Schizosaccharomyces pombe: one gene and its partners. The gene in region 4 interacts genetically with the main gene of each other region. Each region holds a gene or a part of one and is shown on either strand. Other genes may lie near its edges. The genes, in order: def1, cid13, nxt2 and mog1.

Region 1 (6,826 bases), on a different chromosome or scaffold from region 4:
GGCAACCCACAAGCCAACGAAAGTTCAACATTATATCTATTTAATTTACATATTTTTTAGAATTCTTTCATTGATAATCAAGAAAAATAAAAAAAGTAGGCTCACCTCTAGATACACAATCTAATATGCTTCGTAAATTTCGCAAGCTCAATGTTTATTTGGGATTAGAGATATCTTCATTATGCTTTAAAACAGTGCTTTTACATACTATAAGAAATTCAGTCTTGCCATTGTATTACATATAAACTGGTTTCCAATAGTTTCGAGAAGGGTCGATTTTGGAAAGGGTTGAAATCGGTTTAGTTTATGATATTTTCAATAATGTTAAAATACTGTTTGTCGTTTTAACTTGGGACTCGTCTTGGCTGATTTGAATAAACCACTGAAGTTTTTTGTCTTTCTTTTTTATTCCTCTGAATCGGAAATACTTTTCCCGATAAGCGTTTCGAATGAATAGAATTGAAATTGTTTTGTCCCTTTACTTTCTACTTATATAAAAGAAGACGCACTTCTTTTGGAGACATATTCTCAAACAACACAAAATATGCTGGATTGTAAATACTCAGTTTAAACACATATGAGAACTTAAAGTAAGATATCTTTATTATCAATTTATTTTATTAGCTTCACATGAAGGAATATAAATTACATTTATTTCAAAACCTGATTAATACTTGTTCGCAGCTTTAGGTATGTGTATAAATTTATTAAATATGCTTAGTAACTGTCTACGGCCACACCTAGGCGAAAACACCAGTTCCCGTCCGATCACTGCAGTTAAGCGTCTGAGGGCCTCGTTAGTACTATGGTTGGAGACAACATGGGAATCCGGGGTGCTGTAGGCTCCTTTCTTTTTTTTTCGGAATATTATTTTATTCTTACAATGTTAACGGCTTCACTGAATTTTTTATGCTGCTTTGTTGATGATACTGTAAAAAATAGTGACAAATAAAGATTTTGAAATATATCAAACCTATCTGTAAACATTTGAGAACAATTCTAGCGTACGAATTAACTTGTCCATATCTTGTTGTCATACGAATGCACTGTTTATTGTTCATCGTTGACAGTTTTCAATGTAAAATCAATTTTTTATTTGAGAAAATGGTTTCTAATGTGCCGCTTTTGTTAAAAAATTATAGTGCAACAATAGATAGATATGCTATTCCTTGAAATGTGGGTTTCTTTTCATTACTCTTTACAGTTTTCTGTTATGTTGTCGTTTTGAAAATGGACTCTTCACAAGAAGAGAGTATTGACTTTAGCAATTTAAACATAGAATCTTAGCACGTTTGATTTTATTATTTTATAATTAGTTAGTCATTTGAATTGCCAAAAATGGTGACTTAATTTTGGTTACTAACAATTGAATAAAAAAATAAAATAAAAATAAAAAGAAGAAAAATCAATATAAATTGCGAGATGATACTACTAAAGTTCACAGCAATTTTTTTTAAAAAACAACGAAAATTTGTAAAAAATGACAAAATTAAAGATGAAATAGTAAAATAATGCGAACGCTTCATCAAACCATTTGACACATTAGTTATAAGCATTGACAGAAACTTTGATAATAATGCTTTTAGAATTTATCTTAATATAACTAGGCGATTATTCAGCTGTACAATTTAGTTTTTTTGAATAAATTATAATGTTATTTTATCAATATTCTATGTTTTTATAACTCTACAATTAAATAGATATATGCTTTTTAATAGAGCATTCTAACAAGCTTTGGTGGTTTAGTGGTATAATGAATCGTTGCCATCGATTCGACCCGGGTTCGATTCCCGGCCAAAGCAATGTTTCTTGTTTTTATTGTTAATTTAATATTAGCAGGCTTCATATTTATTTTTTTAGATAAAGGGCATCACGTTTATAAGTGTGGTTCACTTGAACCCAACAAAGTGAATGAAGAGCTTCGAATGTTACTGAAGCCGCGTAATTAGAACGGATGGATTATTACTTGAAGCAGTAATTAAAGTTTTCATAAATTGACCAACTGAATACCCGATATTGCATTGCAAATTTCTAAACATACCAACGTGTTAGGAATCTGTAATAGCAAAGCATGGAACGAAAGGTGTTTAGTCAACTTGAATTTAGCTAAACGAATTGCACATCTTTTAACAGTATCGAAGAAATTGGGCAATAGAAAAGTTAATACAATGAGCTCTACTTTCATCATATTTTCATGTATTCAGGCAAGCAGCTAACTAGCTATTGTCTTAAGAGCAATAAAGATACACAACGGTAAATCGTTAAATACAATAGTAAACTGCACTCCACTACTATATAAATCAAGCTTTTAGAAAAGGTAATCGCAAAAATGAAGAAAAAGTAAAGTAAAATTTAAACAATAACATTGTTCTTTATAACGTTATAAGTTTTTCTATGTATAAAAATTTCAAGGAAAGCTATAGTTTGCACTTTAGCGCATTCACTACCACCTTGCTCTGGTATAGGCAATTTCCATTTAAGCAAAAGCACTATGCTGCACGACACCAAAACGCAGCCAGAACCACTACCCTTAAATAACACGAAAAATCTTGCATATCGTCTTGAAGCACGAATACACGTGCCTTGTCGATTTTCAAGACCTGTATTAATTTTTGTAAAGAAAAGTAGAATCAAAAATGAGTGAGAATAAAAAGTTTCGGCCAAAGAAGGTCGGAAATACCGAACAAGTTTCAGAAAAGCAACACACAGATACAGCGTTAAATATATCGCAAGATAATAAAACTTCATCCTCTTCCGCCAAGAGAGGAGCGAAGGGAAGGCGAGGCACCAAAGGAAAATCTGGCCCGGCAAATTCGTCTCAGACTAGTAATATAGAGGGATCAAATGCGCTTGAGCTCGAATTTGATCGTGATTCGCAGTTAAGCGTATTGCAAGAGCTGTTTCCTAGCTGGACGATTGATGATTTAAGTTTTGCTTTAGAAGAAGCGGACCGGGATTTGGAACTGACCATATTGCATATTACTGAAGGTCACGCCTCCAAATGGGGTGAAGTTAAAAAGAAGCCAATCCCTAAAACAAAGTCCAAACCAACAAGTCATGCTCCAGTTTCCGATAATGTCTCTTCCACCTTTCGTAATGCTACACGTAAATCAAAGAAACCTTCCGCTTCTAAGGATACTTCTCGGGGGGTTCGAAAATCAAAAGCAGGAGCTCCCTCAGATCCTTCTTCCGTTCATGCACCATCCTCTTTAGAAAAGCCTGCTGGTACTGGCGATCTTCCTTCCTCAGAAATTTCTACCAAAGCTCCTGCATCAACGACAGTGTCTTCTTCCGTTGATCCTGGTACTATTAATGAAGATTCCTCAATGAAAGATCATACTACATCTAATGAACAAGCTTCAGTTTTAACATCGGCTAATACCGCTGCTTCAACAAATACGAACGGCACCGCAGGCGGTACTTCGGCCTCAGCAAAGTCGACCAGTGCGGCTGATCAGGCTGTTGCATCTTCAAAGCCTATAAAGAAGGCTTGGGCTTCAGTTGCAAAGTCGAAGAAAAAGGTCACTCCCGCTCCCGCTCCCGCTCCCGAATCCGAACCTTCTAAACCCTCTATCGCTCCTTCTCAACCCTCTAAAACTAATGTTTCCGCTGCTTACGAAAAACCTGCTGAACTGTCATCCTCATCTGTTCCTTTCCCTCACAAATCCCAGGACTCTGCAACTCCCGCAAATGTTGAAACGACCCCCTCCACAGCTACCTCAGCTCCCAAAAAGAGTACTGCCCCATTTGCCATAAATGCAGTCAAGCCCGCTCCTGGGCTTTCCAACATCTCTTCTGCTTCCCTACCTAAGCCCTCCTTTGCGAAGCAAGCCGCTGTTGGCTCTCAAAGCTCTACAACTAGTATGACTACTGCTCGATTACTTTCTGATAGATTCCCCGTCGTTATGCCTGTTGCTAATACTGCTGCTATTCCCGAAAAGGTTCAAGTGCGTTTCGGAAGCTTGACACTTGGGGGTGAGGACAAAAAATCGACAAAGTCTTCTTCAGACAACATAGCACAGTCTGGACCAAGAAGTTCCTATTTTCCTAAAAAGACAGTTTCACCAAAGCCAGAGGCAAAAAAAGAGGCGAGCAAAGTTGCTGAATCCACCAAAATCCCAAAGAAACAACACACTTCAGCATATGAAAGCCGTGCTCCACAATCGAAGGTTCCCGAAAACTTGAAGGAATCTCATGTTAACGAGACACCATATCGTGGTTTACACGATGTAAATTTACCGGCCAGTGGAAACGCCTCTTCTGTCTCGGCCATCCCTCCTCAAGTATCAGCCCAAACGACTATACCCGCTGCATCCACAAGTGCTACAAGTGGCCCGGTGGTTGGTAAACAAAGTGCCGGATATGGCGGTATTTATTCTCCTGCTACACATGGAATTTCCCCTCAACCATATGCTGGTGCTAGTCTTATTCCTCCGTCTACCGGAGCTGCTTTTAACAACGAAACTGCATCTTCAAATGCTGGGGAGACAACTGCACTTCCATATTCTTCTAGATTTATGAATCCTGTGGAAAACCGCTCCGCCAATAGCCCATTCGACAATTTTCAACACATCGACCATAGTACTGAATTGGGATATGCTTCAAATACTTCTCAACAATATCAACAGACTAGTCATCCAGCATACACTACTATGTCTCCTATTGAATATGGTCAAGCTGCACCAGCAGCTCATTACTATAATGAGCGTAATCAATACTCACAATATGATAATGTCGCTGGTAGTGCGTCGAATACACCAGATGTGCACTCGGTAATGCATAACAAGGTTGCATCTTCTAATGCTACTTCTCTACCTGCTGCTGGAACAGCGACTCCTAGCCCTGTTGTTTCTCAACAACAGCCCCAACCTTATGCATTTCCTCCAATGTATCCTATTCCTTATGTGTCTTATGGATACGGTACGATGCCTTACAATAATAACAAGTTTGGACAGCCCCAGCAAGGATACATGTCTCAGAGCGGCTTTAATGATTTCCCTCCCATCTTTGGTGGACACAGCAACGTGTACAACAGACAACAGCCTGGCAATGTAAGTGGTATGAGTGGAACACAAACTAGCAACCCAATTAATAATGCCACTGCAAATACTAGCGGCATGACTGAGAAAGCGGCTGGACATCGTGACTCTGTGATTGGAAATGGAGGCGTAACCGGGGCGAACAGCATGTCAAGTACTTTGGGTGGTTTGTCTTCCATGTCAGGGATGGGACGTGCGGCTCCTGGTATGTTTATGGGTAATGTTGGAAGTTTTGAAAACCTTAGTGCCAATGCGGCCTCTCCTTATGGCTTACCTCCTCAACAAACGCCATTGACCAATGCTGCTACTCAGCAGACAACCTCTTTTCAAAGCAATGCTAACAAGGTCAACAATGCAAACAGCCAACCCGCTGGGTTTCCGTTCAACTCTGGAGCATCTACCAATGCAGGTAGTAATGGATTAGGAGGCTATAATGCATACAACCAGTCATTTATAAACCGACCAGGAGGTTGGTACGGTAATGCTTAAATTGAACTTATGATCAAAAAGTTTGATAACGTAGAAGTTGGAAAATGCTTTTTATAAGGATTCAAAAATAGGCTAAAAATAATTGCGGACAAGATGCTATTAATGGAAGGGTAAAATCGATTTTATTGGGACAATCGAATTTATGAAGTTTTTCAATATATATATGTGTGTGATTTATATGGCTATGTGGTCACATGTGTTTTCTGTTTGATAGTGCTTAATTATGTAGTTTGAAATGTTGCTTGTTCATATCATAACATATCATACCACGCCGTAATGTTGCCATTATATGGTAATTCCTTGTATGTTCATAGAGTATTTTTTTATTGCATTATTAAAACAAACTGGCGTTTTGGAAGAGGGAAAGGGTAAATAAAGATTTGATGTTAAGGTATTTGTAGGTGTGGGTAAGCAATGCGAAGTGGGATAACTAGTTTCAAGTAATGATTATTATATTTCCAAAAGTCAAGTGCTAATGAAACACGTTTAATCAGTTGGCAATTTAGGGGGGTGGTTCACTCGGCATTCCTATTTTAAACAATTTTTGACGGCAAATGTTAAGCGAATTCGCTAAAGCAAAGTGTAAAAAAAAAAAAGCTTCGCTAGTAATATATGCCACACTTCAGTCAACAACACTACGTCAACCCTATACGCTAAGTCTACTGAATAGAAAAACTTGATACTTTTATTTACATTGAAATGAAGAGCAAATTTGTATAATACGTATTATTGATTCTAGAAATATAGCAAATTGAAACATCCAAATTTAGCAAAACAGCATGTCGCTGTTGTAAAATTCTCATGAAAAAATAGAATGTCTAACCTTCACTACTGGCAAGATTCGTTCATGTAGATGTAGTTGAAGAAGAGACAGTGTCATACACAAACGTAGAAAAAGTTCTGAAAAGGAAAAAGACTCCTAGTAGATTATAATTCAAATCAAATCAAACCAATTAAATTCAATAGATCGATGTCTTGAAACATTAATTCCTATAAGGTTGAAAATAGTAGCAATATAACGCAAAAATAGCGAGTCGTAATAGCAAGTAAAATGGTAGTCATTATAAAGGGTTAACTGTATTTCAAGTATAAAGAACGGAGAAAGTTGGAGCAATGGCAATAACACATCGAGGAGTAATTTAGGAAAGTAGTGAGAAAGATGTTAGAAAGGAAATTTAGTAATTTGTAAGTAATGATTTCAGAACTTGGAACGTGAAAGGGAAAAAGATATTTTCATCATAAAGAAAAATTTGCCCATCGTGAAATAGAGAAATAGTGAGAAGAAAACCACCACCGAA
Region 2 (6,704 bases), on a different chromosome or scaffold from region 4:
TTTGCTCTACTGGAGCCATGGAGGAAATTAGTTGTTGATTCTCCTTGGCATAAGGTTTAGAGGAAGTACTAGTCATGCGGGCATTGATGTTAAGATTATTGTTCCTCGACATCATTTGATCAGGGGAGGAAGAACGGCCTACTCCTGAATCAGGATCGAAATCGGAATCCACAAATCGATTAGTAAAGTCTGTGTGGGGAGTCAAATCGCTATCGTCCACAAATCTCCCCGGGTCAGAAGGTGGAAGATCGCTTGTTTTGCTGTATCGACTCGATCGCGATGCGGGACGTCGAACGTCCAAACGTTGAGCAGTACGAGTTGAGTAGTAACGCCTTAAAGATTTTTGAGGTACTCGAGGAGAGCTACTTTCATACTCCCCACGTGTGCGATAGCTAGCTGACTCATCGGGCATGCGATGATGCGAAGCATGATTAGCAGCGTTTCGTTTGCTCAAACGACGTCCATCTAGAGAAGGGAGGGTAGCCTTTAATTCTGATGAGACATAATAACGACTACTGCGAGACATCGCTCCATCTTTCGAGGAAATAGTTGCGCTTTTCGTTGGTCCGTAACTTAAATTCATAGAGGAAGCCGGTACTGCGCCAAAACTGTTCCCTGAATCGTTTAAATTACTCCAAAATCTTCTTCCTCCACCACTTCTAGTGTCTATGTTTGCTTTTCGATCGCCGTAAGTAAGTGACCGACCACTGTGAAGTTGACTATTTCCAACCGCCGATAAATCTTCCACAAAGTATGAAGATTCAATTGGATTTTGGATTATAGAGCTCATTCAAGTAAATACACGCAAACTGTTTTCACCTGAACCCTATTACTCTCTAAAGTTCGATAAGCAGCGTTTGCCGTTTTTGAAAAATTCCCCCTTTTATTCCGAACAACCTCAAATTTATGTTACAATACCTCTTGAGCTATTCGAATATGAACGTTTTTCGAGTTTCCTTTAAATTCTCAAAAAACCCCAATTTTTCACTCAATCCGCTCTCAAATTTTCAATCTTCGAGTTCAAGGAAGAGCAAAACAACTTAGTGAGTGAATTCACCTTGCGTACTACGGTATACTGAGTGACATCATCAATGCGGATAACCGCATTAAATATCGAACGGTGTTGATCATGCTTACCTCTTGTTAATCCGCAAAAAGCTATACTATGCTATTTAACACTATTGAGCTTAACCCATTTTACCTTAAAACTATCGTTAAAAAAGTTAGGCAAGTCATGTAAAATTAAAGATATGCAAATTGATTTAATGCAATGCATCAAACTCTTCAATAAAAATTTACAGAGCTTTAGGTAAACTAAAGTAAATCCATCAACACTGTGAAGTGTGATGGATATGTGAAAAAACAACGGTAACAAGGCAACGTAGTAAATAAAGATTTATTCAATCAATCAAACTATCATTTCAGCAGGGGAGAGATATTTAAAAAAAAAAATAAAAAAAAACATTTTCCCATGCTGTACAACTCATACCAGTGCTTTGTTCGCACTCACATTAATGGGTTGATGATTCACTCCTGTGCAGGCTTTCGACAGAGTATGTAAAAACCCGTTGCTTAAAATCAATGGCATAAGATTTATTCCCATGACAAGGAGCATCTCAAGGAGATCTAATCAATTGCAAAAAAAAGTTATGTAAATAAACGTGATGAAATCCAAACTTCTTAGCAAACTCAATAACTGAAAAGCGATTAGTGTTCATCTCGTAAGACTTGCTAGTATTTTTCCTAGCTCAAAATGTACCATATAGTAGGTAAATTCTTTGTGTTTTTTTTAATTTTTGGCGTTTTCTCATTTTTTAAACCAAATCAGAATTTAAACAAAATATGTTCTGACAACACTATTCAAGCCATCAATGGCGGGTAAAATGTAAAGACAACGAAAACTGAGTACGAAGTTTTGTTGTAGGTAGAGGAAGGGGAAACACGGTCAAAATGATTAAAGGGATAGGGGGTACTTGTAAGTTATTAAACTTATAAGAGTGAAGAGTAAAAGCAATCTAGACAGAAGATATAGTTCCTAAAAAGACTGATAGTTCGTGAATGCTAATATGCAAAACCACCAAGATATCAACCTTTACAAATGCTAATGTTTCCACTGAACTTAAGAACACAATTTAGGCTTTTAAATAATTCTCGCGATAAACAGTACGCAAAGAAAACGCACATTCAACAAAATTTTTCGTATGTGCAATAGAAGGGAAAAATAGTTTTATAAATAGTAAAACGATATAATTGAGCCGAAAACTCCACACATAACCAGAAAACCAATAGTAAATAGTAAAAATTGCAAATAATAAAATGAAAAAACTTTCCTAAGTCATTTTATCATTAAATATAACGGAAGAAAGGAAAAAGAAAAGAAGAAGTAAAGTGGACAACAAAGATAAACGAAAGCGGGCAAGCGAATAAGGCTCAAGTATTGGCGAAATCAATATGCAAAAATAATGTAAAAAGTATGAATTAGAAAAATTAAGATAGAAAGATAGCTACTAACGAACCATCAGCGAACGTCACCAAACCTTCAGCATCAACTCTTGAATGCTTGTACTGTGGATAATACCGGCTCACTGTGTAAGCTAACTGGCGATACTACTTCAGAAGAAGAGGAATTTGAAGGAGGTGAATTGTTATCCGTAGGAGTAAAAGAGAAGGCATCAGGATAGTACTGGAATGGACCCGAAGATTGCTTCTTTTTGTGAAACTTATTGCGAGAATATCGCCGAGAATTAGACAAATTTTTTTCGTGACGATCCCCGCCATGCCTCTCATCAAAATGGTGTGAAGATTTGGGGTAGGGAGAATTATACCATGTATAAAAGTCCATGTATGAGGGTGGAAGATAGCTATTATTATTAATATAGCATGCATAGGTGTAAGGGTCAACAAAGGTATAAGGGACATTGGGAGGGATTGCAGGGACGTCGTTTGAGTATATAGAAGAGTAGTCAATGGATGAATTAATATTCTGATTATAATAGGGAGAAGCGGTTGCATTATAAGGATCAAAGGCCCAAGCAAAATGTGATGGCTCAGGAGGGGATTCTGTACAGCTGGTGTCCGAAGAGTCACGACCATGGGAGAAACCAGGAACTATTTCCAATTGTAGTTCATTTACATAATCGTCCATAAAGCTTGTGTCAGTTAGAGAGGGAAAAGTAAATTGCGAACAAGCATCGTCGACATTGCAATTATACGCTAAAAGACGGAAAACACGTCGAAATTCCAATTGTATTCCTTTCATGGTAATCTCATCTGCAGTATTAGCTAGATTTCGAGATGTATGGAAAGGCTCTTCAACACACAGAAAATTGTTAAGCTGAAATTGCCATCCTTTTGCTCGTTTCGAAAGAAAGGTACCGTGTCTAATGGATAAAACAAAATGCTCGTAATCAAATAAATAACCAAAAAATCGAAAAAACTCTACGAACAGGATACCAAGAGACTCCTCGTTTTTGTCACCAAAACCATGAACAAGATCTGGATCGTCGAAAAACGACACATCCAGCCCGTCAGTCATAGTAGACGAATCTTGTAAATGAGGAAGCATTTGCAAGCTGGGAAGAATCGGTGGATCGCGCTTTTGTAAAAAGTTTATAACCATACAGCTTATGGTGTAAGAAGTGAGTGTACCGCCCTCGGCAGCGTCATTCAAGCATCGTCTTTTTGCCCAATATTTAATCATAACAATCAAGGGCCGAACTCGGGGATCACAAAGAACGTAAGAGCGCATCAAACGCGTGTTTAAGGTAGATATAGTTTTATTGATATTGCAATCGCATGATAGTTGTAATTCTGAGTCCCAAACCTTTACAATTGGCACTTTAGCTGTTGAAATGCAAACGACCTTTTTAAGTCCGTTCCTAGCAAAGGCAGCTGACACCTCGCAGGTCGTTGGAGCACATTGAGGCGGATCAGTAATGATACACAAATCAATGTCTGATGCATTGCTGGCAAGAAGAGATTGGGTTGACCCAAAAAGGGAGGTTTTGATATTTTTATAGGGGAATTCTTTTTTCAATATTTGTTCGAGTTTCTGCACAAATGCATATCGACGTTCTAAACCCGAGTCGTTCAGTATAATAGAGTCATACAACTCGTACAGTTGAGAAGAAATTAGATCAGTATCAATATCAACTAAATTCTTTAATGATAGAGGATGTACTGGCGGAAGTGGATCCGCACCGAGGCTATAAGGAATACGCCTTCTATATTGAAAGCTGCGAGTTTCAAATTTGCAACCGCCAACGCAATTAGCGTTGTCCATAGTATTAAGAGGGTAAGAAGCTTCTAAGGTTTAATAAGTTGCAAATTCTCTATGGATTCCGACGTTATCCTACCTTGTCAGCTAGTAAAGGCGTGAGTTCTTTGTAATATGATCAGCTTTGATCTGAAACGATCCAGCAAGAACAGTTCAAATGTACGAGCCCTATCGACAAGAAAAGACAATTTAGAAGTACTTCTAAGTTTCAAGATCGTATTGATGAATTAATATGAAGTTGGTAATGTTTGTAGCTATTCTTAGGAAGAGGTGTGGGATAAAAGAACCGCCTAACAGCAATACGTACGTACATAGGTATCAGCTTTCCTACACAAGGAACAAGTACGGCATCAACATAGGATCGGTAAATAAGTAACAAATGAATATACAACGCCGTTATAAAGTAACCTTAATATATTCACGTAAGACACCTTTAAAGCAACGTTCAGCTAATGATATTTTTACAATCTTCAACTGAAAACAATAAACAAAGTAATCATCAAAGAAAAAACGCAAACAATGACGTTGGCATGACAACGAGCATAATTGACACCTTTCTTGACGTTTTGACGTTAAATAGCGTGATTCCGTAATCTGCGTTATTCTATAAACAAACTAGCAATACATAAACATACATGATCAATGTTGCTCCCACAAAGCATGGACTTGACTTTCCAATTGAGTGGAAACGTTCGTGTAATACTTTACTACTAACGAATGTACAGCAGACAATATTAAATAAAAAACGCCGCCAAGTAAGCTATCCATCTAACTCCAAATACCATACAATTGACTCCTTTAATAAGAAACATAAATCAAACAATCTAACGGAATTTGAAATCGTTTCATTTATTCACTAAAATCTACGCTAAAACATGACACAACTTCATCTAGAAATTACATCTATGTCATCAAACGACACCACAGTTGTAATATAATAGATGAAATTAAACACGTCAGAAAACACCAGCTGCCCTACATAATACGACCAAAAGGAAACATATCATGTAAGAGATCATCGCATAGAAAGACAGCAAAACAATTAGGTAAAAAACCTAATCGAAAAGCATGCCTTCAAAGAATTAAAAGTCCTCACTCTGAGGGCAACGGTGCCTCCTATCATCATCCGTGTTGAGTTCTGTGGCTAGGTTAGGAAACCCAAGCCGGACGTATACTATAGAAATGATCCTATGGAGTATCGTCGATAGTGTTTTGTTGAGGATAATGACCCGTATATATAGTAAATATAACGGAAAAGCAGTCACATTCATTTCCAATCAACGAATAATGTTGAACTTTCAAGTATAATGCAGTGTCAATTACACTATATTAAAAAGACTTTGCAAGGCGGTGAAGCTGCTCTTAAATTACAATAAGCATGAAAATCATATTTCGGTAAATTAGTAAAAGAAGTCATGAAAATAGAGCTTAAGGCCGAGAAAACAAAAAAAAAATTTACAAATTTTTTAACTAGTTAGAAAAGGTTTAATAAAACTGGTAGGCTCCTCTATTCTATAACTTGTAATCGCCGACAGCCATGGCTTTAAAAAGTTGCTACTTGTTGTTACTTGTCATTAAACTGGTGAACACTAACTCCTTTAGAAGTTCGTACAGCAATTTGCACTTCAACCAACTACTTGGCAGACTTAAAAAACATGTCTGATACAACTTCATTGAATGTGTAAGAATGACTAAGATATATAAATAACTAATTCAGTAGTCCAGAATTGGAGTCTCCCCCTATTGAGCGGGTGGAATTAGAATCTTTACTTGTAATGAATATCATCAAGCACTGCCGTGATTCTTTTCCTAATATGGGAACAATTGGTAAGTGTAGTCATTGGAGAATAAGTTTTCCCTATTTTTCGAAATGATAAAACTTGCAATTTTTCTGCATCAAAGATGCAGCTATGCATTTGTCAGCTCAGTAATGCTCTACTTAGTGAAATTTCTTATCAACCACAGTTTCTCTCTTGAAATAATATTTTTAACTAACTTTCGTTCAGGTCAGCTTGTTGGTATTGACATTGATGGTGTTTTACAAGTCAGTAGCAGCTTCGAGTCTCCGTCTGTTCTTGAAAATGAAGAGTCTGCTGTTAACAAGTCTGTTTCCGGTAAAGCACGCCAAGCTCATACTGAGGCGATGCTTAATCGTCTTCAGTACATTGGTGCTGTTACTGGTCACGTTGGTTGGTATTTGGGAGCCTATGTTAGTTCATTCTTAAGTAGCCCCTTTTTTGTAGAAACGCAATATGCTTATCAAAAGGCAAACCCCAACAGTATCGCTTTTCTTTATGATTTGTCTCAATCTTCTAATGGAACTTTGTACATGCGTGCTTATCAGTTAACTCCAGAGTTTATGGCTGCCCATGAGGAAAAAACTTGGACCGCCTCCTCCCTCAATAGCCACAACTTGACTCCTTCCAAT
Region 3 (4,454 bases), on a different chromosome or scaffold from region 4:
ACCGAAATTTTCGGTAAATTGCATCGATCATCAAATTCTGAGAATACAAATCAAGCATCGCCATCCACAATACAATCGCATTCAACGCAACCGGTTCTTTCCAATGACCATTCTACGAAAGTAAACGATTACGAAGGGAAAGAGGGTGCTTCGTCTAATGGCTATGATCCCGTTTTCATGTCGGATCGGATGAAGATGCGTTACAATGAGATTACAGCTCAGCTTCACAAAGAACAGGTATGTTATAATTGATTTTTTGCTTGAAAGACAATCTTCCCCATAGCTTTCTTTATTGTGTTTTTCAAAAATCACTGTCTCCATAAATTGTTGTTCACTTGGCTAACCTATCATAGTCCTTAAAGGAAGATAAAGAATCTGGTTCTAATAGTTCCGAAAGCAATGGAATTACACCAATGGGTACATATTCAGAAAAACCCAAACTACTACAGAGTCGTACACCTCCATCTTCGTGTTACATTAGGCATGATACCGTTGTGCCAAAAGATAAAAATGGTCAGCATGCTTTTGGACGGCTTTATGTTCGATTACATCAAGGTAGAGATTTGAACGTCAAAAGTGTTAATGCACAACCTTATGCAGTAATCACCTTTGAAAAAACGCAGGTTATGGTACCTCCTCCTTTTAAAGACATTGACGGTGGGATACCCATTTCCATTCCTTCTAAAAACCGTCCTCTTGCTGGATCTGCTTCCGGTTCTTCTTCTGGACTACATTCTGAGCTAATGTTGGCTGATGTGCGTTGTCCTCATTGGGATTTTGAAACTGTATTTGATGTGACAAAAATGAAAAGTCAAATGGTTGTATCTGTATATGACAAATATGAAGACGATAAATTTTTGGGCTCCGTTAAAATTACACCAATTTTCCTACATGAATATGTGCAGGAAGCATGGTATAAGCTTGAGCCTCTTGACTTAACTAAGTCTCTGGAGGGTGAAATAAAAGTGGAAACAATTTACGAGCACATTGAACATGTTCGTTATGGGCCAGAAGATTTTACGGCCCTTCGTTTAATCGGAAAAGGTAAAGCTGCTTTAAGCTAAAAAATTTACGGTATACTAACTTTATTTAGGCACTTTTGGGCAAGTTTATTTGGTCCGTAAAAACGATACCAATCGGATTTATGCTATGAAAAAGATATCCAAAAAATTAATTGTTCGTAAAAAAGAGGTTACACATACCTTGGGCGAAAGGAATATACTTGTCAGGACTTCATTAGACGAATCTCCGTTTATTGTTGGTTTAAAGTTTTCCTTTCAGACCGCTTCAGATCTTTATTTGATAACTGATTATATGAGTGGAGGCGAACTTTTCTGGCATCTTCAACATGAAGGTCGCTTTCCTGAGCAAAGAGCTAAATTTTATATAGCCGAACTTGTTTTGGCTCTTGAACATTTGCATAAACATGATATTATTTACCGAGATTTAAAGCCTGAAAACATACTATTAGATGCAGATGGTCATATTGCTCTTTGCGATTTTGGTTTGTCTAAGGCAAACCTTTCAGCTAACGCAACTACTAATACCTTTTGTGGAACCACCGAATATTTGGCACCTGAAGTTTTACTTGAGGACAAGGGGTATACTAAACAGGTCGATTTCTGGTCTTTAGGAGTCCTTGTCTTTGAGATGTGCTGCGGATGGAGCCCCTTTTATGCTCCAGACGTCCAACAAATGTATCGTAATATTGCCTTTGGAAAGGTCCGTTTTCCAAAAGGAGTTCTTTCATCAGAGGGTCGAAGCTTTGTTCGAGGCCTTTTAAATCGCAATCCAAATCATCGTTTAGGAGCAGTTGCTGACACTACTGAATTAAAAGAGCATCCTTTTTTTGCAGACATAAATTGGGACCTACTTAGCAAGAAGAAGGTTCAGCCGCCTTTTAAACCGAATGTTCAAAATGATCTGGATGTTTCCAATTTTGATAAAGAGTTTACCAATACTAATGTGAAAAATATCAATATAGTTTCCAATGTTGATCCCGCTAATGCCTCGACACCTCTATCCAACACGATTCAGGACAGATTTCGTGGTTTCACTTTGTAAGTTTATTTTTAAATATTTGACCATCAACTAACCTTAAACTTTATAGTGTCAATAAGTCCATTGATGAACAGTTTCAGAACCTGGGACTACAAGAAAACGAAGAGACAGATAATTTACATGCGTGTCGCACAACAACCCATTCATCGGTTAATTCAATAAATTCACATGGGAATCCACGTACGGTGGATGCTAACGATCCCGTCGCAGATACTGTGTTCGGCGAGACGTTCGAAGCTTGATAAGCTTGCTCCAATCAAAAAATTTGTCTCCTATTATCCACAATAGAAGATAACTTATTATGTATTATGTTCCCCTTTCGTTATAGTTATTTTGTCTCTCAAAGGCTTCGCTCCGTGTTTTCTAGTTTACCCAGGAATTAAAGCAAACTGTGGGTGTTTTGCTTTTGTTTCCTTCTATCCTTTATTATTTGTTACGTTCTATTTTGTAGTCATCTTCATATTTTATTATGTGAACATTTAATAGATTAAGTTTTACATTTTTATCCCAACTCAAATACTTGTTGCTTTCTTTTAATTATGATTGAAGGTGCATTAATTATGCAAAATGTGAAATACATCGTTATAAAAAAGAATGTAGCATTTAATAAGCAATCTTCACAATCAAGTAAATATTATGTTCCATTTCGTTCATGATACTAGTTAGACGCTAGCACCATATTTTTTCTCATAAATTTTGTCTCAATAGGAACGGATAAACATCTATCCTGTTGTTTGCATGAAGTAAAACCCCTTCAAATCTTATTGCAAATTCGTTTTTCTACCATTGCCAATACTATTCGAATAGAGGACTTTTGCCAAATAACACAACTATAAGTTTATCATGTTATTTTACATATTAAGAGTTGTATCATTTTACGTTAAATTACTTAAGGTGTCTGTACGATCTTTTTTGACGCGATTTTTCGAACTTGAAATAATAGGTCTACCTTTTACCACCATCTTTCATTATGGCTGGTAAGATAAAAATTTGTATGATTTATTGCTAATACTCTGCAGACTATAATGCTTTGGCGACCCAGTTCACTCAATTTTACTACCAAACTTTCGATTCCGATCGTTCTCAACTTTCTTCACTATACGTATGCGACTTCTAATTATGAAATTAATCCTACGTGTATTTATCTGGGCAGCTAACTTATATATATTAGAGAGAAGAGTCGATGCTGAGTTTTGAGGGAGCCCAACTCCAAGGAACTAAAGCCATTGTGGAAAAACTTGTTGTATGATAATAACTGAAACGTCTTCCTTTTTTTTATTAACTGTTTGGTATAGAGCCTGCCTTTTCAACGCGTTCAACACCGCATCTCAACTTTGGATGCTCAACCTACTGGTACTACTGGATCCGTAATCGTTATGGTTACAGGTGAGCTTTTGGTAAGTTATAAGATTGATGTTACTTATTCTATTCATTTTTTTTTTTTTTGCTTTGCTCTTTTTTTAACCTTTTTGTAGTTGGATGAAGAGCAAATGGCCCAGCGCTATAGCCAAGTTTTTCACCTTGTTAACAATAATGGTAACTACTATGTCTTAAATGACCTGTTTCGTTTGAACTATGGTTGAAGAATATCATAGTGAAAATATTTAATACAAGTATCTTGATTATCTGCAATTTCATTTTCTTTTTTTTTATGCTTTTGTAGCGATTACCGGATTTTCAAACTACAACCTGTAGCAGATATAGCTTTTTGAACCCATCGCTTGTTTAGTTCGTTAAAACAAATTTTCGAATTGAACTCTACCTAAAAGTTTACATTAAGACTTAGTCTAATTTCGAAGTTTTACGCTAAATGAAAATTTAATCTCAAAGCGAATGTTAGTTCACTTGTCTAAAATTATAAATTAAAACCAAAAATTTATAAAGTAATATCTCCTTTTTTACAATTTGGTTATGATCTAGCTGGTAAATATGAAATAATTTAAGAAAGGAAACCAAGCAAGGTCGGCCATTCAATGTATCTGTTACATTAAAATTGAACTAAGTAAATCACAATTTTTCAGGTTTTCTGTCACAAGTTAGTATCATATATTCATGAGGCCGAAAGCATCTCTGAACTTACTTTTCTAAAGAAACGACAGATATGCATTTAAATAAATTTGCATAGGACGCTTTCCATAAACGAACGCACCCATCATCGCCCGAGCTGCTCAAAATAGTTCCTGTCACATTAAAACGGCATCTCCACACTTGACATTTATGGTTATCATATTCACCAATGAGTTCCACCTTCAAAGAATTTAGATTGAAATTTGAGTCTTCTGTCATTGAATTTCCAGCATCTTCTTCCTCTTGAAATACTTCTTCGCAAAGGGTTTCAACTTTAAAAATACGAACATTCCCATCTTTGCATGCAGTAGCTATCAGGTAATAAC
Region 4 (4,185 bases):
ATAACGGAGAGAGTAGTGTATGAAATTATAACTTATGTAACTCTTCATCTTTCAATGTTGCATATTGTATTTAACTTTGTATCCCTGTTGCCAGCAATGTCTCAATTTGAAAAGAAGCAAGGCACTTTGGCGTGCATTTTGGTGACGGTCATTCCTTACACTCTTTTCCCGGGTATTATGCATTTAATTGTCTACCATTTTTTCTTGAGAAAAGATTACGTTTCTATTGCTGGACTTAGTGGATGGGCTTTTGCTTTTATCTCTGCTTCCTGTGTTCACTCTCCACAACGATTGTAAGCATTTCTTATAATTATGGTTGCAGATGCATACTTCCACACGTCTTCTTTCCTCACAATGTTAAGAAACAACCTGGTTTGTATGATTTTTTGCAAACGTCGAACCTCTCTTGTCTTTTAAATGATGGCGGTTTATTAACTTATTTTTTAGAATCAGCTTTTTTAATCTTTTCAGCATTCCTGCATATTGTTTTCCTATTATTTACCTAATTATGACTACCATATTGGTTCCAAAAGCTAGCTTTATCGGGCATGCATCCGGAGCTGTTATGGGGTATTGTACTCCTTTCATGCTTGGTTCTATCCCCTTAAAAAGCTGGGCTCAAAATGTGGACCCAATCTTCCAGTCTTGGGTAAAAAACTATCACTCTTTTGATCAACTGTCGCATGCTCAACTCCCCATTGCGGAACCTCTGTCGACCTTTTCTTCTTTCCCCGGAAAAGGAACCCGTCTTGGGGGATGAACTTTCTGTCTTTTACTTCTTTTCTGTTCTTCTTCGTATGATGATATCCTAAATGTTTGTTTTCTTTATTGCAAAGGGTGGAAAAGCTCCTCTCAATGAAGAGATCTTCTATCTTTTGGTAATTCTTATTCAGTATTTTCTAGTCAGTCGTTTACAGGTTTCAATCATAAAGATTGTTTCATTCGCTATATTTGTTCTTTACTTGCACGGAGTTAGGGACAATTAGAAAGTATTTTAATGTTTAATAATTCTTTATGATTAACTTGTTTTAATCACCACTGTCCTACAGCGGCAGTGTAAAGGACAAAAGCTGTACAATCAAAACACCTTGAAATTGTAATTTCCGTTATTCTTTGGAAACTAGCGTTTTACGTTGTACTCTCAAATCATAAAACATTAAACTGTAAAGACACAGTGAAACTTATACTATTAACAATGGAAGAATGGGAAAATTAAAATAATAGCAGAAAAAGTGAAAACCATTGCTAATCGGTTATCAAGTATCAGATGTTTTTATTAAAACCCTTCATACAAGTTGGAATAACCGGTTTTTATAAATAAGAGAAACAATTCCTTTCGGATAAAGAAAAATAAAACTTGAAAAGTATTTCCCTAGATGAAAATCTTAATTAAGTGTTGTGGGCTAGTTAATTTGCTTGCCTATGTCCATCATCCTTTAAGCAAATACTGTTTTATCGACAAGTACAAGAGATCGAGTAACTCGCTGTATTGTTTCGAGAGCAGCGCGAACGATGCTTTGATCAGAAGGGGGAATGTTTTCAACAGAAGAGGGAACTGAGGAAGTGTTAGGTAAAGGAGCATTTACGGAGATTACGATATCTGTTTGAAAGTCAATCAAAGTTATCACATTCACGAAGATTGCCACATTGGTAGCGGATTCAGGATTTCGCTTTCCTTTTTCAAGGACCCTCTGACAACCTTGTACAGAAGATCCACTAGCCTTTTCGCTTCTCATGCCCTCAAAGTCGTCTTCACCAAGACTTTTGTCTCTCCAAATTACTCTTTGAGATGCATCATTATCGAATGCAATGCTATTGAAATGGTAAGCTGCCACACTTCCATCAAATGGCTTCTCAATTTTTTCCAAAAGCTCAATGATCACTGTTAGGTTTTCCTTGGAATCTTGCAAAAACACCTCTTGGTTGTCAGGAATCTGACGCAAAACGCTAGCATCGAGAAATTTAGGAGGGAAATCAGCACAAAGAGCCCCACCGAATAGCTGTACCATTACTATAAAAATATAAAAACCTAATAGATTTGTTTGTCTCAAGAACCAGATTGGTATTCGAACCACAAAAGGATTCTTTCCTATTTTCACTCCATTTCATTCGACTGCGGTAACAAGTTAGTGCGTGTTATTTTATGTTTCATTATTATATTTATCGCTAGTAAAACGCTTTAAATGAGCCTAGATTCAATTTTCAATATTTACGCACTGCACGGTAACTACTAAACTGATTTAAAATTAAAATAAAAAGAAATTCAAATTGATGATTTTTAATGAAAATGATATGTTAAAAATAAAATTTTGTACACATATATAGTTTCTAATATCGTTTTGACAACTAGTATATCAAATGGATGAAAGGACGCTCGTAATCTTGTAATCATGAGTCCATTCAGATATCCATAACTAATACAAGGATAGGGCGTCTGATAACTTTTACGATTAAGTTGATTAGTTGTTCAGCCTTCCACTTGTGTGATACAAAAGAGAAATGGAATTGCACACTAGAGTGGTTATTTCAAACTTTCTATTGATCTGAAAAACCTAAATTAAACGTTCACTAGATAATAAGTATTCAACCAAAAGATCAATTTATGTACGGTATCATAATCTACTTCAATACTTTTACACAATTACATCACCTTATATTTTAAACAAATATCCATTAACTGACCAGCAATAATATAGGTAAAAGTTTTGTGAACCAATGGGAATTCTTATTCATTTGTATATAGATAAATGAAGAAATGTATATATATGCATAAAATCCTAGCCCATCAAACTGTAACCTGAAAAGGCTTGTAACAAAACTCATCAATCTCAAACTTGTAAATGGTGAAATAGCAAATGTAACGTAGATAGAAAGATGGTATGAGTAAAAAATGATAAACGGTTAACCCTTTAGCTTTGCTTTTATCCTTCAGAGCTCAATAACTCAAGTCGAAGAGATGGGACCAAGCACATGCTGAAATGTATGAATGAAATGAGTGTAACAAATAAAATTAATAAATTGCTGAGATACTTGACGAAAGCTCATCAGAACATCAGTGTAATATAATAGCGAACTAGCGCATCTTTTCAAATTCATTTTAAATGATTTTTCTAATAATCCCATCTAGTAAGTGGTATTGAATTCGAAATGGTATCTGTCGTACCAGAAAGAATAATTAGCAGTATAATTCGTGTCCCTTGGTTGAATGATACCGCTACCAATTGAAGAGTTAGTTTGGTTCCATCCAACAGCACCCTTGGCAACAGCCTCAGAAGCAGTTAATCCTTGGCGGATTTCTGCACCAGCTGCCAATGGAACAATAATAAGAATAAGGAATATTACCAAAATTGAAAAGTACAAGGCTGAATAACGACGAACAATACGTTTCCGCAGTCTATTCTGCTTGGTAGAGAAAATAGGAGGACGAATTTGACGACTTGGGCGCAACCAGAAAAGAAGAACTGAATGCCAACGATCAATATATGGGATACAAATCACAGGAAGCATAAAAAACAGTAATAAGTGACCCAAGAAGAAATCAGTAGCAAACAAATTAAGTTCTATGGCTTTACAGACAAATTCACGAGCAGGCAAAGTAAAGGCATGATAGCCATATCCTTTGCCATACCATTTACCACTCCACCAAGAAATATTAGCACTATCTTGTTTGACCTCACGAGATAAACATAATAGTGTTAAAATTTTGAAGATAAAACGATGAATTGCAGTAACAGCACAGAAGGCCAACACAGTCTTGGGTAATGACCATCCATCAAGGAACCAGCAGACTTCAAAAATAGCAATGAAGATGAAAATTTGGATCGTGTGGGCAATTGCAGCAAAAATAGATGGAAACTTTTTACAGCACAATCCAAAGGCTGGACCCAAACAACAAGCCATACCACCAAAGAAACCTGACATACCAAAGCCTGCTGCAATAGGAATGAGAGAGATAATAACAAGTCGCAAAATGGGATTAGTACCTGTCTTTGTGTCATGAACATATGGGCTTGGATTATTTGGATCAGTGATAAACATGGGATTTCCAGGCTGAGAATTGATAAAGAAGTAAGGGATAATGGCACCAGCAGCTAACAAGGCAGGGATTAACACATCGCTAAAGAAAACATTCGTAAACTTTGCTCGTGGAGTATCCATTGAAATTTTATCGCTTGGTTGACCTAG

Evidence for each region.
Region 1: of mog1 (region 4) and def1, a mutation in one rescues a mutant of the other (synthetic rescue), as found in Schizosaccharomyces pombe (one study listed by BioGRID).
Region 2: of mog1 (region 4) and cid13, a mutation in one rescues a mutant of the other (synthetic rescue), as found in Schizosaccharomyces pombe (one study listed by BioGRID).
Region 3: of mog1 (region 4) and nxt2, a mutation in one rescues a mutant of the other (synthetic rescue), as found in Schizosaccharomyces pombe (one study listed by BioGRID).

The regions. Positions count from the first base shown.
Region 1 is NC_003423.3:568,425-575,250, forward strand, and holds def1 (RNAPII degradation factor Def1), read left to right. Parts: upstream 1-2,513; 5' UTR 2,514-2,636; coding exon 2,637-5,528; 3' UTR 5,529-5,896; downstream 5,897-6,826.
Region 2 is NC_003424.3:982,466-989,169, forward strand, and holds cid13 (cytoplasmic poly(A) polymerase Cid13), read right to left. Parts: upstream 4,556-6,704; 5' UTR 4,283-4,555; coding exon 2,546-4,282; 3' UTR 1,102-2,545; downstream 1-1,101. Other genes in the region: protein Slf1, read right to left, coding at 1-790; tif308 (translation initiation factor eIF3h (p40)), read left to right, coding at 5,932-5,957, 5,997-6,103, 6,283-6,704. UniProt on the Schizosaccharomyces pombe protein: Polymerase that creates the 3' poly(A) tail of suc22 mRNA.
Region 3 is NC_003424.3:2,400,150-2,404,603, reverse strand, and holds nxt2 (nuclear import protein Nxt2), read left to right. Parts: upstream 1-3,008; 5' UTR 3,009-3,031; coding exon 3,032-3,038; intron 3,039-3,080; coding exon 3,081-3,163; intron 3,164-3,232; coding exon 3,233-3,304; intron 3,305-3,356; coding exon 3,357-3,458; intron 3,459-3,536; coding exon 3,537-3,644; 3' UTR 3,645-3,954; downstream 3,955-4,454. Other genes in the region: serine/threonine protein kinase S6K family Sck1, read left to right, coding at 1-237, 354-1,044, 1,094-2,060, 2,111-2,303; GATOR2-SEACAT complex WD repeat subunit Seh1, read right to left, coding at 4,069-4,087, 4,142-4,454.
Region 4 is NC_003421.2:2,246,156-2,250,340, forward strand, and holds mog1 (Ran GTPase-binding protein Mog1), read right to left. Parts: upstream 2,051-4,185; 5' UTR 2,010-2,050; coding exon 1,437-2,009; 3' UTR 1,206-1,436; downstream 1-1,205. Other genes in the region: Golgi rhomboid protease Rbd2, read left to right, coding at 17-293, 448-760; cell wall and secondary septum 1,6 branched 1,3-beta-glucan synthase catalytic subunit Bgs4, read right to left, coding at 3,124-4,185. UniProt on the Schizosaccharomyces pombe protein: Involved in the Ran-GTPase system for nuclear protein import and poly(A)+ mRNA export. Required for mitosis-to-interphase transition.